2 linked regions of the Stegostoma tigrinum genome follow. The protein of the gene in region 1 purifies or fractionates together with the protein of each later gene. This does not show direct contact. Links are inferred from orthologs where the notes say so. Each region holds a gene or a part of one and is shown in the gene's direction. Other genes may lie near its edges.

The links.
Region 2: the proteins of ataxin-7 (region 1) and usp22 purify together in Homo sapiens (affinity purification with western blotting; 7 studies listed by BioGRID and IntAct, with this or other methods). This does not show direct contact. The link is inferred for Stegostoma tigrinum from reciprocal best matches to the Homo sapiens genes ATXN7 and USP22.

Annotation. Positions count from the first base shown.
Region 1 is NC_081364.1:48,247,065-48,254,945, reverse strand, and holds the start of ataxin-7, read left to right. Parts: upstream 1-4,867; 5' UTR 4,868-5,274; coding exon 5,275-5,440; intron 5,441-5,590; coding exon 5,591-5,659; intron 5,660-7,881. UniProt on the Homo sapiens protein: Acts as a component of the SAGA (aka STAGA) transcription coactivator-HAT complex. Mediates the interaction of SAGA complex with the CRX and is involved in CRX-dependent gene activation.
Region 2 is NC_081376.1:20,206,633-20,213,634, forward strand, and holds the start of usp22 (ubiquitin carboxyl-terminal hydrolase 22), read left to right. Parts: upstream 1-4,000; 5' UTR 4,001-4,185; coding exon 4,186-4,305; intron 4,306-7,002. UniProt on the Homo sapiens protein: Deubiquitinase that plays a role in several cellular processes including transcriptional regulation, cell cycle progression or innate immunity.

The DNA of each region.
Region 1 (7,881 bases):
GTGCTAAGGACAGAGGAAGTAAAGGGACAGGTTTTACACCTATAGGCATAAAAACCCAACATTTTCCCAGCTGCCATCAGTTCTGAGGAAGGACCATTGGACCCTATACGTTAACTCTGATTAATGCTGCCAGACATGCTGAGCTTTTCCGGCAATTTCTGTTTTTGTTTGTGATAACAATTTACATGATGGGAATAAGGAATGCTGATTAGCCAAGGTATTGCCATTAAAGAAAGTATCAAGGAGAAACAGGCTTCCCCATTTCTTGGATCATTTTAAAAAGGCACAAGGCTTGAATATATTCCTTTTGTTTTCTTGAGTGTGCTAATAGCTATACTAGCAACAAAATTAAGCTAATTAAGCACATGAAGTGGCTCACTTATGCTTGTGAGAAGCAGCATACATTCAGGCACTGAGACCCATTTTCTACAAAAGCCTTGCAAGAGCTTGGAGAACATAGGAACAGAAGTAGGCCATTCAGCCCCTTGAACCTGTTTCAGCAGAAGGGATATAGCTTACCAAGGATTGCTCAAAAGGTGCAGAACTGCTTCATTATGAAGGCATAAAATAGTAAGGCTAGGTAGGAAGTTGTTGGGAATCAGTTTTACGAGGGGAGATCAGAATTTCCACAAGAAATATCCAGAGGCACAGAACTTGATGAATGATGGAAAGTGTGAAAGTAAACTGCCCAAGTGAGACTCTCTAGTTGATTTGTACAAAGCCAAATAAAATTGGCTTAAATTTATAGTTTTGATTTCCTCTTTATCTTCACTGTTGACCAACACAGCTGATACCACTGGAGACTGAAGTGTAGGTTGCTCCATAGAAACCCTGGTGACTGTACTCTGAATGCAGAATGCAAAACTCAATTTTAAATGTTAACTATAATGTTAGAAGTTAGGATGTTAAGACTCCTAGATATAATAACTATGCATTAAAAGAACAATAAGATAACAAAGACACCTATGTCAGGCTCCTGCTCGTTGGCTCCAGCTCTGCCTTCAACACCATTATCCCCTCCAGACTGATCTCAAAACTGCATGACCTTGGTCTTGGCTCTACCCTCTGCAACTGGATCTTCAGCTTTCTGACCCACAGACTGTAATCAGTGAAGATAGGTAACTGCACCTCCTTCACAATAACACTCAACACTGGAGCCCCCCCAAAGATATGCCCTCAGCCCCCTACTGTTCTCCCTGTATACTTACGACTGTGTTGCCAAATTCCAAATGAACACCATCTACAAGTTCACTGATGACACCACTGTAGTGGGATGGATATCTAATAATGATGTGTGAAAATACAGAAGGGAGATAGAGGGCTTGGTGACATGCTACAATGAAAACAATCTGTCTCTCAATGTTGGTAAAACTGAAGAACTAATCATCAACTTCAGAAAGAAAGGGGAGAACACGCCCCCATCTTCATCAATGGAACTGAGGTTGAGAGAGTGAAGAGCATCAAGTTCCTAGGAGTGACGATAACTGATGACCTGTCCTGGACTTCCCACGTAAATGTGACAGTCAAGAAGGCGCAACAATGCCTCTTCTTCCTCAGGCAGCTCAGGAAATCTGCCCTGTCCATAAGATCCTTCACTAACTTGTATAGATGCACATCAAAAGCATACTGTACAGGTGCATAATGGCCTGGTGTGGCAACTGCTCTACTCAGGACAGTAAGAAACAGCAGAAAGTGGTGTGCACAGCTCAGGTTACCATGGAAGCCACTTTCCAGCCATTGTCTCTATTTACATGGCTTGCTGCCGCGGAAAGGCAGACAATATCATCAAAGACCTATTGCACCCTAGCAATGGTGTCTTACAACCTCTTCCGTCAGGCAGAACATAGAGAAGCCTGAACACACGCATGAGGAGGCTCAGGAACAGCTGGTCGTTATCAGACTGTTAAATGGACTTTTGCCTCAAATAATGTAATCTGTATGCCTCTAAATCTTCCTGATCTGTACATCCTTTGCTTGTTGTGATCTGCCTGTACTGCTTGTGAACAAAACTTCTCAATGTATTTCAGTACACGTGACAATAAATCAATCAAATAATCGATCATTAACATCACAAAGGTCCGTCGATGTAAAATTTGCAAGTGTACCAGGTATTACAGATAAACCTAAACCTTAAAGCATCTTAACGACAATTATTTTAAATGGGATGTTGTGATGTACCAATTAAACATTTTGCATACATAATTCATTTTATGTGTATTATTAATTAATATATCACTGCACAACACACTAACTAAAACAAATGTCATTTTATGTGAAGTAGGGTGAAGAAATGAAGATAATTATACTTCCTTTTGCAGAAATAATTTATTCATACTTTGAATCATACATTCTAACATGCTTCTATTTCCATTACATTTCTCTGATCTACACAATGAAAAGGAAATAGGCTATTTGGCCCCCTGAGCCTTCTCCACCATGAAAGCAGATCATGGCTGATTTTTTACCTCAGTTCCAATTTCCTGCAATATCCACAGATTATCAGAGACACATAGGACATATGGCTTAATGGCCCTCTGGGCTAAGGAGAACCTATTGGTGGGATGTATTTTCAGATGAGGCATTTTATTGGTAGGGGCATAAAGAAAGGGTAAATTCACAATGGGATGGAAAGATTGAGAGATGAAGAGGTTCAGTGGAAGACCTAAAAGGAAGAAGATATTGAATGGGGAAGAGCTAAAAGCTGTTGTATATTTTAAAAGGAATGGGTATAAGGTGGTAAGAGGGCTGGGATGCAAAAAAAAGGGGAAAGGATAGAGAATAAAATGTGAGGTGAGAGAAAGAGTGGAGATGGAATGTGTGCACTCAAAGATGATAATTTTTCTCTCCATCAGATTTTCCACAAATTCGGCGAGAAATATTCCAGCTAGAGCCATGTTTTATCATCTATCTCAATGACTTTCTTGATAAGAATATACTATAAATCAACAGTGAACTTAAATGGTCTGATTGGTCTCCCAGTTAGGTCTGTACCTTCATCCACTTATAAACTCATTACTAATTTTTTTATATGAATATTTTTTCAGATTAATTCTGAGGGAAAGACTCTCGTGTGAAATAGTTCCATTAAAGGTTTTATTTGCAAGTAATTTAAATTTTAATGTTGATTTTAAAATAGTATTATTTTAATTTTTGTCCATTATATGATGTTGATGATGCTTCAATGACAGAATACGTTTTAGGGCTTAATTGAGCAAATAATCAGTAAATAACAGTCAGAGGAGAGGATACAGCTTTAATTCAGGGACCTAGACATACACTTTCTATATGAACAGAACTACAAATAACAAACTTAACAAGAAGATATAAAATAGTTAACTTACTACATATGATTAGATTAGATTAGATCAGATCCCTACAGTGTGGAAACAGGCCCTTCGGCCCAACAAGTCCACACCGCCCCTTGAAACATCCCACCCAAACTCATCTCCCTATAACCCACATGCCCCTGAACACTACGGGCAATTTAACATGGCCGATCCACCTAGCCTGCAAATCTTTCGACTGTGGGAGGAAGCCCGCATCATGTTATAAAAAGCTTGAGAGGAAAACACGTGTTTTGATCTTATTTAGGGGCACAAAAAAGGTGCGTTTTAGTGCTGATGGGAATTATCCACCTTATAAGCTGTATTACTAATCGTCAAATGGAGATGTCTGTTAATATCTGCAAACTAACAACCACTTGAAGTGTCAACCACTCCAGCTGTTTGTTTTGCTGATAGAGAAGTTCGGATTTGGAGCTTCTCTCACTGGGCTGGAACTCCGGCCGTGACGCGCGGTTACAGCGTAGGTGATTGGATCCTGACGTCCTCCGTTTAGGAAGTGCAACGCTGCTCTGTTTATGTTAAAGAAGCCAGCACCTGCCACCAAATACAGATGCACCACACAGATATCGAGGGTAGATGAAATGATAATCTGTCATTTTAAAACACTGAACTGCGCGTCACCATTCCCCTAAAAGTTATGTGGTAATCGTGATTATCTAAACTAAACCACCTCGACGTACCCGTTTATTTAAGGAATAAGAAAACATAAATAATACACCAATGATGCAATAAATTTCCAGAATCGTTGAGCTGCAACCTTAAACGCCTTTTCAATCGATGCAGGTAACATATTTGCAGTTATACCCTGGGGGGGGGTAGCAGGTGAGAAGAAATCCAGACGCAAGTTTATAGAATACGACTCCTTTTCTATGACAGGAATAGCTTCTCATGGGATATCGAGTTTAGTTGGCCATGCGATGGCCTGAGATTGCAAGTGGAGAGACGAGGTAGCCCCCACAACTAGTTTTAGTGAGTAATTTGATGTGTTCCATAGTCTGTGTTTATGACCACCATTACATTTCAGACAGTTCTGCATTAAAGGAGAAGCTGACTTTATCACCAAGCCCTTTGCAGATGCTGTAGAGTGTTGCCCGTTATCATCGAGGATTATCGAAGCCAGACACCACTGCAGTTGGGTCAGTAATGATTGGGTTTATGTATTATATAGGTTTCACCTTTCCTTATCTGGATAGGGGTTTGATGTCAGCCCTATTCGAATATTAGCTGTTGCTCCTGACATTGGCGCCTGCACTTTTATTTGGTGCTGGCGGGGCGGGGTGGGAGTTGGGGTTGGTGGTTTCAAGTCTTCGTGAACAGTAAGGTTATTGTTTCTGTGCCTTTTGTTTTCTTTCCATCTCACGGCCAGTCATGATGGTGCTGAAGCAAATAGCAAGAGGGCCGACAACAGCATCACAAAATGCTTGCGATACAAACAGGCCATTCAGCCCATTATTTCTGCGCTGGTTCAATGCAAGAACATCTCAGCTAGCTCTACTACCCAGCTTTTCCTTTCTGATCAATGCGGGAAAGCACCAACAGTCACTATTTCTGGTGGACAACAGCATTCTGGCAAGCATCCTCACAGTGGTGTTTAACACATCCACGAGTTTCTAGAATGATACAACACAGGAAGCCACTCAGTCTCTGTAGCTTTTCGAAAGAGCTTCACCCTGCTGTTCTCCGCGAAAAAACCAAACAAGTAAAATCTTCTAAGTATTTATGCAAGAAATTCATTTCATAGGTTATAACCGGAACTGTTTCCTGCGAGGCGGTACATTTGTTAAGTCTGTCGGTCTGTTAAAGGGGCAGAGTGGGCCGCAGGGCCAGAGAAACTTGCCCCAATGTTGCAGTCCCAGCAGCGCTTCCTGTTAAAGGGGAGGGGATTCCAGTTAAAGGGGAGGGTGAATTCCTGCCAGAATGTAGCGAAAAGATGGCGGAAACGGCCGAGGCTGACGTCACCGCGGCCCGAAGCGCGGCCGGGCAGCAAGAAGGATCAGCAATGGCGACTGTGGAGAGGAGACTACCCAGTCCGGAGGCGCTGGCGGGACAGCCCTGGACCCACTGGATCGATGCCGCCAAACAGCACGGGGCGGACGGTGAGCCCAAAACGCTCTTTAATCTTAGAAAAGACTTTTAGCGGCGAAGCGACGAGCGGGCCCGGGATGTTTGAGCGCCGACTTGGCGCAGGCAAGGCAGGCAAGTGTAACTCAGTGACTGACTGACTGATGTGTCCAATTGTTACACAGGCACCGAATTGGAAGAAACTTTTAAGGAGTGTGGGAAAAACCGGGAGGTGATGCGGCTGAGCCGGGAAGGTGAGTGGTGGCTTCAAACTTTGCAGTGTTCCTGCTTCTGCCTGCCTGTTGTACAGGCTCCTAACCGCGGGCTGGTGACTCTGCTTCGCAGGCACTGGCAACTAGACCAAAAGGGGGGCCTGTTACATGGATGTATTCAGAACTCATGGTTTACCCAAATATTTGTAGGAGCTAGGTCAACCAACGAAACGTTCCAAGTTCCCATTCCCTTCTCCTCCTCCTCCTCCTTCCCCCACCCACGTAATGATTTCGTAGACTTAATTTTTTAAAAAGTTGCTTTCCGTAATCTACGTGTTAGGGTTCAGTTACTGTCTTGTTCCTCAGGTAATGAGGGAGTGGTTCTAGATTATATTTTGTAGCAAATCAAACTTGAAATCACGAATAGTACTGTAATACAACATAATCTGGTATTCCACTATGTTCGATGATTCTACGGAAGTTCATCACCACAATATTAGCTTACTTCAAGAGGTTAATGTTAGCTATTTTTGGTTTCATTTATGCCCGACTCTGTGCTCAAGCTGAGCAATATACCTTGTCACTAAATTGTCACTGATTTGTTTTCGTGAAACTTAGTATTTAGTCCAATTTTAAACTTCAGATAGAAAAGTTGTAAATTTTGAACTGTGCCATGTAAACTAACTTTAAAATATCCATAAATTGTGGCTAACAGTCTCTATTCTAACTGGCAGGAGTGACCATTGAGGAAAAACTGATACTTAAAATTTACCCACCTTACCTTCTATTTGTTAGACCTTGGATCATCTGCAGTTTAGATGTTGATGTGTATACTGGTTGCAGAGTTAAGTTTCAGTTTAAATCAGATTGTGAAATGGAACTGGACTGGACCTCCATTCCTATTCTTAAGTGTGCAAATGCTCTAATTTAAATTTTAGAATACTGCTGAAGTATTAAATAAAATTCAGTAAAAATGTTGTAGATGGATGTGTTGATCTTGTTACAATACCTACATTTTTTAAATTTTAGGAACTGGTGTTTTGGTTTGAATCTATCTAGCTGAAGCAAGATGTTTGTAAAGATCTTCAAACCGAATTATTTTAGATAGTCCTTCTCAGTTAGTGCCTTGGACAATAGATCATGGCACGCAACTGCTCACAATTCAGCCCTAATCTGACTTTCATTGAGGCTGCACTGTTGAGATGGAAATCGAAAAACTTGTACTGATTCAATAAGTGTGTTCTTGAGTTCGGGTACAAACCTGTTTTAACGTTGTTCAGAGTGAACTCTGTAAACTTGATGAGTGTTTGCTGACACGGACTTCTATTTCATTCCTTCTGCCAACATTTATCAGTTTCTGAGGCAAATGTATCCAATACTGGTTTACTTGAAACTCGATTTTACTCAATCTGTAAAACCATGTAATGATGATCACTTCCGTGCATACTTGTAGGCATGGAACATGATTAATGGATCTACAAGGCATTTTAATGCAACAAAAACTCCCCTTTAATTTTAATTTGATAGTTGGGAGATGTTGTTAACAGGAAAAATTGATTTTCTAGGTTAGAAAGTCATTGTGATTTTTTTTTAATAAATGACAAACGAATAACTTTTTTAAAAAAATGTCTAATATCAAGGTTAAAAATGTTGTACTTCATGTTTTTATTGTTCAATTTGACAACTATTTATGCTGAGAAATGACTTGTTTTCTTGGGCTTCGATAAGTGGAGTCTCTTGGGCCACTGTACTCTAAATTGAACATCATTGTTATATTTAATCTCGATTGTTAATAGGAAAATGCTACCTACCTATTACTGGTTAAATTTGAATTCATTATGGTGAACAAGTATCCATTAAAACTAATGTTTTATTAATCTAATGCTTGTAGACTACAAGAAGCATTTGCACCAATTTTAAGTTGCACTTAAAAATGTTTGGGTTGACTTCCTGTCCATATTGTCATTATTTACTTTTATTTAAACCTTCTCCCCAGTGTAATGTGCATTTATAATTCTAACATTTTTAGCCTTTTTCTTTTCTTCATCACTATTTGTTCTCTTGCTGGTTTCTTTCAAACATTTTGAACACAGGACCAGGTATCAAATATGATTTAACTTACTGACTTCATGGCCTTTCAAGCGCCCAGAGTCTAAATTTGTCATGATGGCTTAGCGGATGTTGTCAGACCAGCTTTGATACCTGTTTGATGTTGAAAACAGCATCTGCGTTGAGTATACACTTTTGTAACAGCAGAACCTGGC
Region 2 (7,002 bases), on another chromosome or scaffold:
TTTGAACAATCTTATTTGATTTTTACGTTAATAGTCTGACTTTTTAATATGATTGTGTTTTTAGTTATGGGGTTAATTTGCCAGCAATACAATACAAACTGATAATACAAACTTTGTTTAGTCAACTTAACTGAATTGATAAGTTTTAATTATTTTAGATTCCTTCTCATGTTATGGATAATGTCAATTACCTGGGGTTAATTTTCTGTTTTTCTTTCAGAAGCTATATCCTTTACACAGAGCTGTTGATCTAGTCCTAGTTTCTAATGAATAGATAGTAATAATTTTCTGTGTAGAGTTGAAGTTTTAAAAATCTTTTATTCCTCTTAAATACAGTTTGGATTTTCTCAGTGCTAATCTGCTAAATTGAATTAGGAGCATTAAAGCCTTCAAAAAATTACATGGAGAAAGCAAAGTAGCACAAAATAATAATTCAGAACAAATCCCTGATATAAATATTGATTTCTGCAGATATTGATGTTTTATATGAAAAAATTTATTGTCTATCAAAATCTTTTATTTAAACGAAAATTTTGGTTATGAATCCACTTACATGGCTTGCTACTGCAGAAACGCTACCAACGTCATCAAAGACCCATGACACACCGGTAATAATCTCCTACAACCTCCGCCATCAGGCAGAAGATACAGAAACCTGAACACACACACAAGCAGGTTCAAGAACAGGTTCATCCCAGCCATCATCAGACACATGAATGGAGTCTGTGTCTAAGTCTTTTTGATCTGTACATTCTTTGCTTACTATGATCTGCCCATACTGCTTGTAAACAAAGACTTTCACTGTATTTCGGTACATGTGACAATCAATCAAAACTAGTATGATTGATGTGAACACTGCCCACAGTGTATTTATCAGTGTTTTTAGTACACTCTTATCAGTTGATGGCTGCCTTGTTCAGTTCACTTTAAGGATGTGAGTGGAGTTCAAAGAAAAGTTGTTCACATCCAAATAAATTATATTAATGCCAAAAAGCAGTGGAACTAGCACCAAACCTTGCAGCACACCATTGGTTACAGGCCTCAAGTCTGGAAAAACCACCCTTGAAAATCAATTTCATATCTGTTTAGCTAGCCCCCTCAGATTCCATGTGATCTAACCCTGTTTACCGGTCTACCATGCAGAACCTTGTCAAATGCCTTGCCAAAGTCAAAAATGACAACAGCTACTGCTTTGTCTCCATGAATCTTCTTCATCACTTCTTCAAAAAACTCTATCAAGCTATGAGGCATGATTTCCCAGCACAGAGCCATGTTGACTATCATTAATCATTCCTTTCCTTTCCAAAACCATTTAAAAGTGCGTTGATAGTAAATATCTTGCTAAGGACAAGGAGGGGGGAGAAAAAAGAGAATAGTACATTTGTAATTTTTCTTAATCCTGATAAAAGGTGAGATGTGCAAAATTGACAGTTTCTCTTTTCACAAATGGCAGGTCAACCAAACGTTTCCAGCTTTTTCGGCTTTCTTTCTTAGTAATTTCATGTCCGTAGAGCTCGATGATGTAGACAGGGTTCTAAATTAATATTTTGTGTTAGTGATCATTTGTGAGGGACAATGTGGGTTTAGAAATCAAGGAGAAAGACTGTGATAAATGTAAATAAATTAGCATAGACTAGTAGCTCTGAGTAATCTGGCAGGCTTAAAAGTAGATAAATTTCCAGGGCTGGATGAAATGAATCCCAGGCTGTTGTGAGGAATGAAATGGGGGGTTGCTGGCAATAATTTTCAAGACTGGAGGGCAAACGAAGTGGTACTGTTTTTTTAAGAAGGGATCAAGCTATAAACCAACAAACTCCAGGCCAGTCAGTTAAACCTTAGTGTAGGGGAAACGATTGGAAGCAGTTCTGAGGGACAGCATTTAGAGAGGCATGGATTAAGCAAGAACAGTCAACAGGATTTTGTTAAGTGCCATGTCTGGCTAACTTGACTGAATTTTCAAATAAGTAACCAGGTGTGTAGAGAAGGGCAATGCTTTTTGTGTAGTTTTCTTAGACTTCAGCAAAGCTTCAGAGAAAATGATAGTGAAGGTAAGAGCACATGGGATTAAGGAAATATAGCTAATTGTAATCAGAATTGGCTGTGTGGCAGGAAGTGGAGTGTGATGGACAAGGGGTATTTTTGTATGTGTGTTCTGGAATCCACATTATTGCTAGGATGTCATGGGACTAAGTGTTGGCAGAGATTTACCAGAACATTGCCTGGGGTGGTGAGTTTTGGTCATGGGAAATGGGATGATCTGGGTTGTTTTCCTGGCCATAGAAGAGACAGAGGGTGGATATGATTGAGATATATAAAATTATGAGGGGCATCAAAAGGGTAGGCAGGAAGAGACTTTTCTCCTTGGTAGAGGGATCAATGACTAGGGTCACAATTTAAGGAAAGGGGCAGGATATTTTCAGGAAAAATGTTTTCACCCAGAGGGTGGCAGAAATATGAAAAATTTGGAGGGATATGGGTCAAACACGGAGCGAGACTAGTTTAGTTTGGGTAATGATCAGCATTGACTAGTTAGGGTGTTTCCAAGTCACATGACTTTGAATCTGGAGCCCGCAGCCTGTAAGGGTGGTGGAAGCAGAAACCCTCATAACATTGAAACAGCATATAGGCTTACACCTGCAATGCCAAAGATCAAGTGGTGGGAAATAGGTGTAGCATAGTTAAGTGGTTGATTTTGACTAGTACAGACTTGATTGGCTGAAGGTCCATTTTCTGCACCATAAACCTTCATGTTGGCCAAACAATGACATATTTGAGAGAGGCTTATTAAAAAAATAGGCTAAAACCACAAGGTAATTTATGGCTTGGTTAGTAACACATTTGTCCTTGGGTCAGAGGATACTGAGTTGAAGACATTTTCTAGGGATTTGAACACAATCCCTAAACAAAGGGGGCAGAATGATTGCTGATTCCACCCGGCCATACCCAAAAAAAAACACAAAATGCAACCTTAACCAGTACCAAGGAGGCATACACTCCCAGTATACTGATAAGAGTAGATGTACAATTGGAACTCATTTTTAAGACTTCTCTCATTTGCCCTCTGAAGAATAAAAGATTCCACTCCACTATTCAAAGCAATTAATTTATCTCTATCACAAAGCTGAATGTGGGAATTTGCGGTGCCCAACTAGATTAACTACACAAAATGCTAGATACCACGTTGGATTCAGAAAAACATTACACAGTTGCCCTTTGCAATTCGCTCGGACTTTAAAGAAAACGCTTAAAATTATGAAAATACGGACGCCCGGAAAAGTGCAAATAAGAGAAATTAAAAAACAGCTAAAAAAGGTGCCGGGACACATAGATTAATCTCTCCACCAGCAGAACAACCAACTGGCCAAGTTATTTTGAAAGTCTTTAAGAGATGAGATAGGACGGAGGTGGCAAGGTGCTCAGCTAAACCAAGGCCTACAGGGTGGAGTCAGGAAGGCACCCATGGGCGAACAAGACAAAAATCGGTGGCGCCGGCGGGAGATTCCATTACACAAATGAAGTCAACAATTCACATAACAGCGACATTTAGGCAACCATATGTACTTTCAATAGAACGTAAGGAGAAAAACCTAACAAATGAGGAGGCCCTAAAACCTCAGCCAGCCAGTAACAGGAAGCCTTAGCAGCAGGAACCGGAAGCAGCGCATTCACGCCATTCAAATCGCTCAAACGCCCGTCCTCTATACCGGTACCGTCAGCCGATAGACAGCACAACAACCAATTAGAAATGGAGCAGGAAACAAGGGCCGGATGTTATCCAATCGGAGCACAGCATGTGGGCGGGACATCCGCCAGTGCGTTGTCTCTGCTACCCTCCCTCCGCAAGGCGAGAAAAACCTCCGGTCCCGCGCAGTGATGGATAGTAACGCTAACCAATCGGAGGACAGGTTGTGTAAAGGGCCCGGCATCTTGACCAATGACTCTGCAGGGGTAGGTGGGACTTCCTGCAGTTTCGGCGAGTTTGCTTTCCTCCTCCCGGAGCGCTGCCGCCTGACGACCATCATCCTTTGCCGACACTATGGGCTTTTCTTCATATAAATAATCGGAGCCGCGACGGCGGCGGGCGGCGCTTTGGGGGTGGAAAGCGGCGGAGGAGGAGGCGTTGCGGGGACAGCTTGCGGCCCGAGATTGCGCGTTGGCGGCAGTGCTTGTGGTGCGGCTCCTGTCATGAGTCCGGCCGGGTGCTCCCATGTGAACAGTTTTAAGGCGGACAATTGGAAGCAGAGCCTGCGAGTAATTTACCAGTGCTTTGTGTGGAGTGGGACTGCGGAGAGCAGGAAAAGGAAGGTAAGGGCCGGGCTCGCCACGGATAGGGGACTCTCCAGCAAAGGCAGCCTCGCAAGACGGACCTCTCTCGTTTGAGGTGGTGAAGAGTCACTGACACTGCTACAGTAATGGATAAGAGCTACTGTACAAGGGAGGCTCTCACTGGGACCGTGAGGGGCACAGTTGTAAGGGGAGGGACAGAGGTGGAGTCGTCGCATGAACAGTGATGGGCAAAGATGCAGGTGGAGTCTCTCTGACAGTAAAAAAAAAGGTTGAATCATTTCAGAGGACTCAGTTATGAGGAGAAGCTAGGAAAAAAAGAGAAAGATGATGAATGCGACAGTGATACCTAATGATACTTAAATTTAGATGGTTAATCCTTAGCACTATTTGAAATTGGTTCATGACAAGGCTAGAAACTGATAAAGGTCAGTTTGGGACAGATGCCAGAAAGTTTTCTTTTTGTGTGCAGGGTGATTGTTCCCTGCAGTAGTCGTAAAACTAGTGTCTTTTAAGTATGGCCCTTTATAAAAGGGTGTCTAGGTGGGGCTTGTGGCCTCCCTTATTTTGTTTTTTTTTGAGACAGGTCATGCTAAATATGTCCAGCAAGATCAGGGACTTAATTAATGGTTCTCAGCACCGTTGTGGTCAGACAACTGACAGATACCCAGTGTAATAATACAAATTTGAGTTTTATTGGACTTGAAATGTTAACTTTACTTCTGTCTCCACAAATGCTGGTAGGCCTGCTGAGTTTGGTTTTTTCAGCATTTGCTTTTGAGACAAATTTTGTGCAGGAGCTCTGTGGGTTGATTTGCTTTGTTCTGATATGATGAGGGAAAGTGGCATTAAGCTTCTCAGGAATACACTGTGTCCTTTTAAAATGGCAAATGTTCCTGTTTTTGGCATGTTCATGTCAGTAAGCGAAAGATGTGTTCCCATGTTGAGGAAGTCCATTAATACTGGCATTTTGTGCCCTTGATAGATGTAATAAACTGTTGTGCAAATACTGTCCCTTTTTAATAGGGCAAACTGGCAGTAGTAGTGTTGTAAAGAATGTTATTATCTACTGTGGTGCTCTAGAATCCTAGTATTGTAGGAATCACCTTATGATCAGTTTGCCTCACCTTAACAGTGTAGTCTGCAGTACGATCTGGCCAGGTTGTACCAGTGTGTGAGATGTTAACAGGAGATGTTATCGAAAAACAGAATCTGCATTATGTGATTAAAGTAAGGGGTGCCTGCACTATTGGATTTCTTCAATATAAAGATACTGCTCATTTCTGGCAAGGAATAGGAAGGGGAGATAATCTATATGCAGGATGATCTCTTTCCAAGAGTGAGTTTGCCACACCACAAAGGTATACAAGCAAGGTTATTTTCTTGTTTGTCTACATGCTGTAATTTTAAGATTTACATGCATTTGGAGAGGCATGGACTGATTATGGATAGATGGCACGGTTTAGTCCAAGGAAAATCATATCTTTCAGACTTGATTTTTGACCTCATTTGAGGATGTAATCAAAAGAATAATAGATGTTGTTTACATAGACTTCAGTAAAGCCTTTGACAGGTTCCACATGGTAGATTAATTAGTGAGGTTAGGTCACATGGGATTCAGGGTGAGCTTGCCAATTGGATACGAAATTAGCTTGGTGGAAGGAGACAGGGTAGTCATACAAGGTTGTTTCTCAGACTGGAGGCCTGTTACTTAGTGTTCTAGAGGGATTGGTGCCGGGTCCACTTTTGCTATTGATATAAATGATTTGGATAAACATTTAGACTTTGCCAGTAAGCTTGCAGATATTCAAAATTGGTGGTATAGTGGACAACGAAGAAGGTTGTCTAAGATTCCAAAGAGATCTTTATCACTTGGGTTAATGGGGTGAGGATTGGCAGATAGTTTGATTTGTATAAATGTGAGCTATTACATTTTGGTAAAACAAGCAAGGGCAGGAGTTGCACTAATAATGATAGGGCCATGGGGAGTGTTTTGTAGAACAGAGACATGGGGATTTGAAATTTGTCACAGGTAGACAGGGAGGTAATGAAGGTGTTTAGTATGCCTGTCTTCATTGTTCAGACCATTTGAGTACAGGGCTTGGGATGTCCTGTTGAGGTTGTACAGGATATTGGTGAGGTCTCTTCTGAAGTGCTATATGCCGTTCTGGTCACCATACATATTATTAAATTGGAGGGGATTCAGAAAAGATTTACCAGGATGTTGTTGGGACTGGAAGGCTTGAGTTCTTAGGAGAGGCTGGATATTCTGGGACTTAGTTCATTGGAGAGGAGGAGTTTGAGGGATAACCTTGAGGGTTTATAAAATCATGAGAAGCATACATAAATTGAATAGCAAGGGTCTTTGCCTGCCATGAGGGAGTTCAAAACAAGGGGGCATACTTTTAAGGTGAGAGGAGAAAAGATTTTAAGAAGGACATGAGGGTCCACTCTTGTATACAGTGAGTGGCACATGTGTGGAATGAACTGCCAGAGGAAGTGATGAATGCAGATACAGTTACAACATTTTCAAAGACACTTGGACAGGTACATGAACATGAAAGGTTTGAAGAGATATTGGCCAAATGCAGACAAGTGCAGCTAGTTTTGTTAGGGGCAAAAATGATTGGCATTGACTAGTTGGACTGGAGATGACTTTGTCTCAATGCCATAGTTTCAGGAAGGGCACGCATCTGAATTGAACTTGTTTACTTTGTG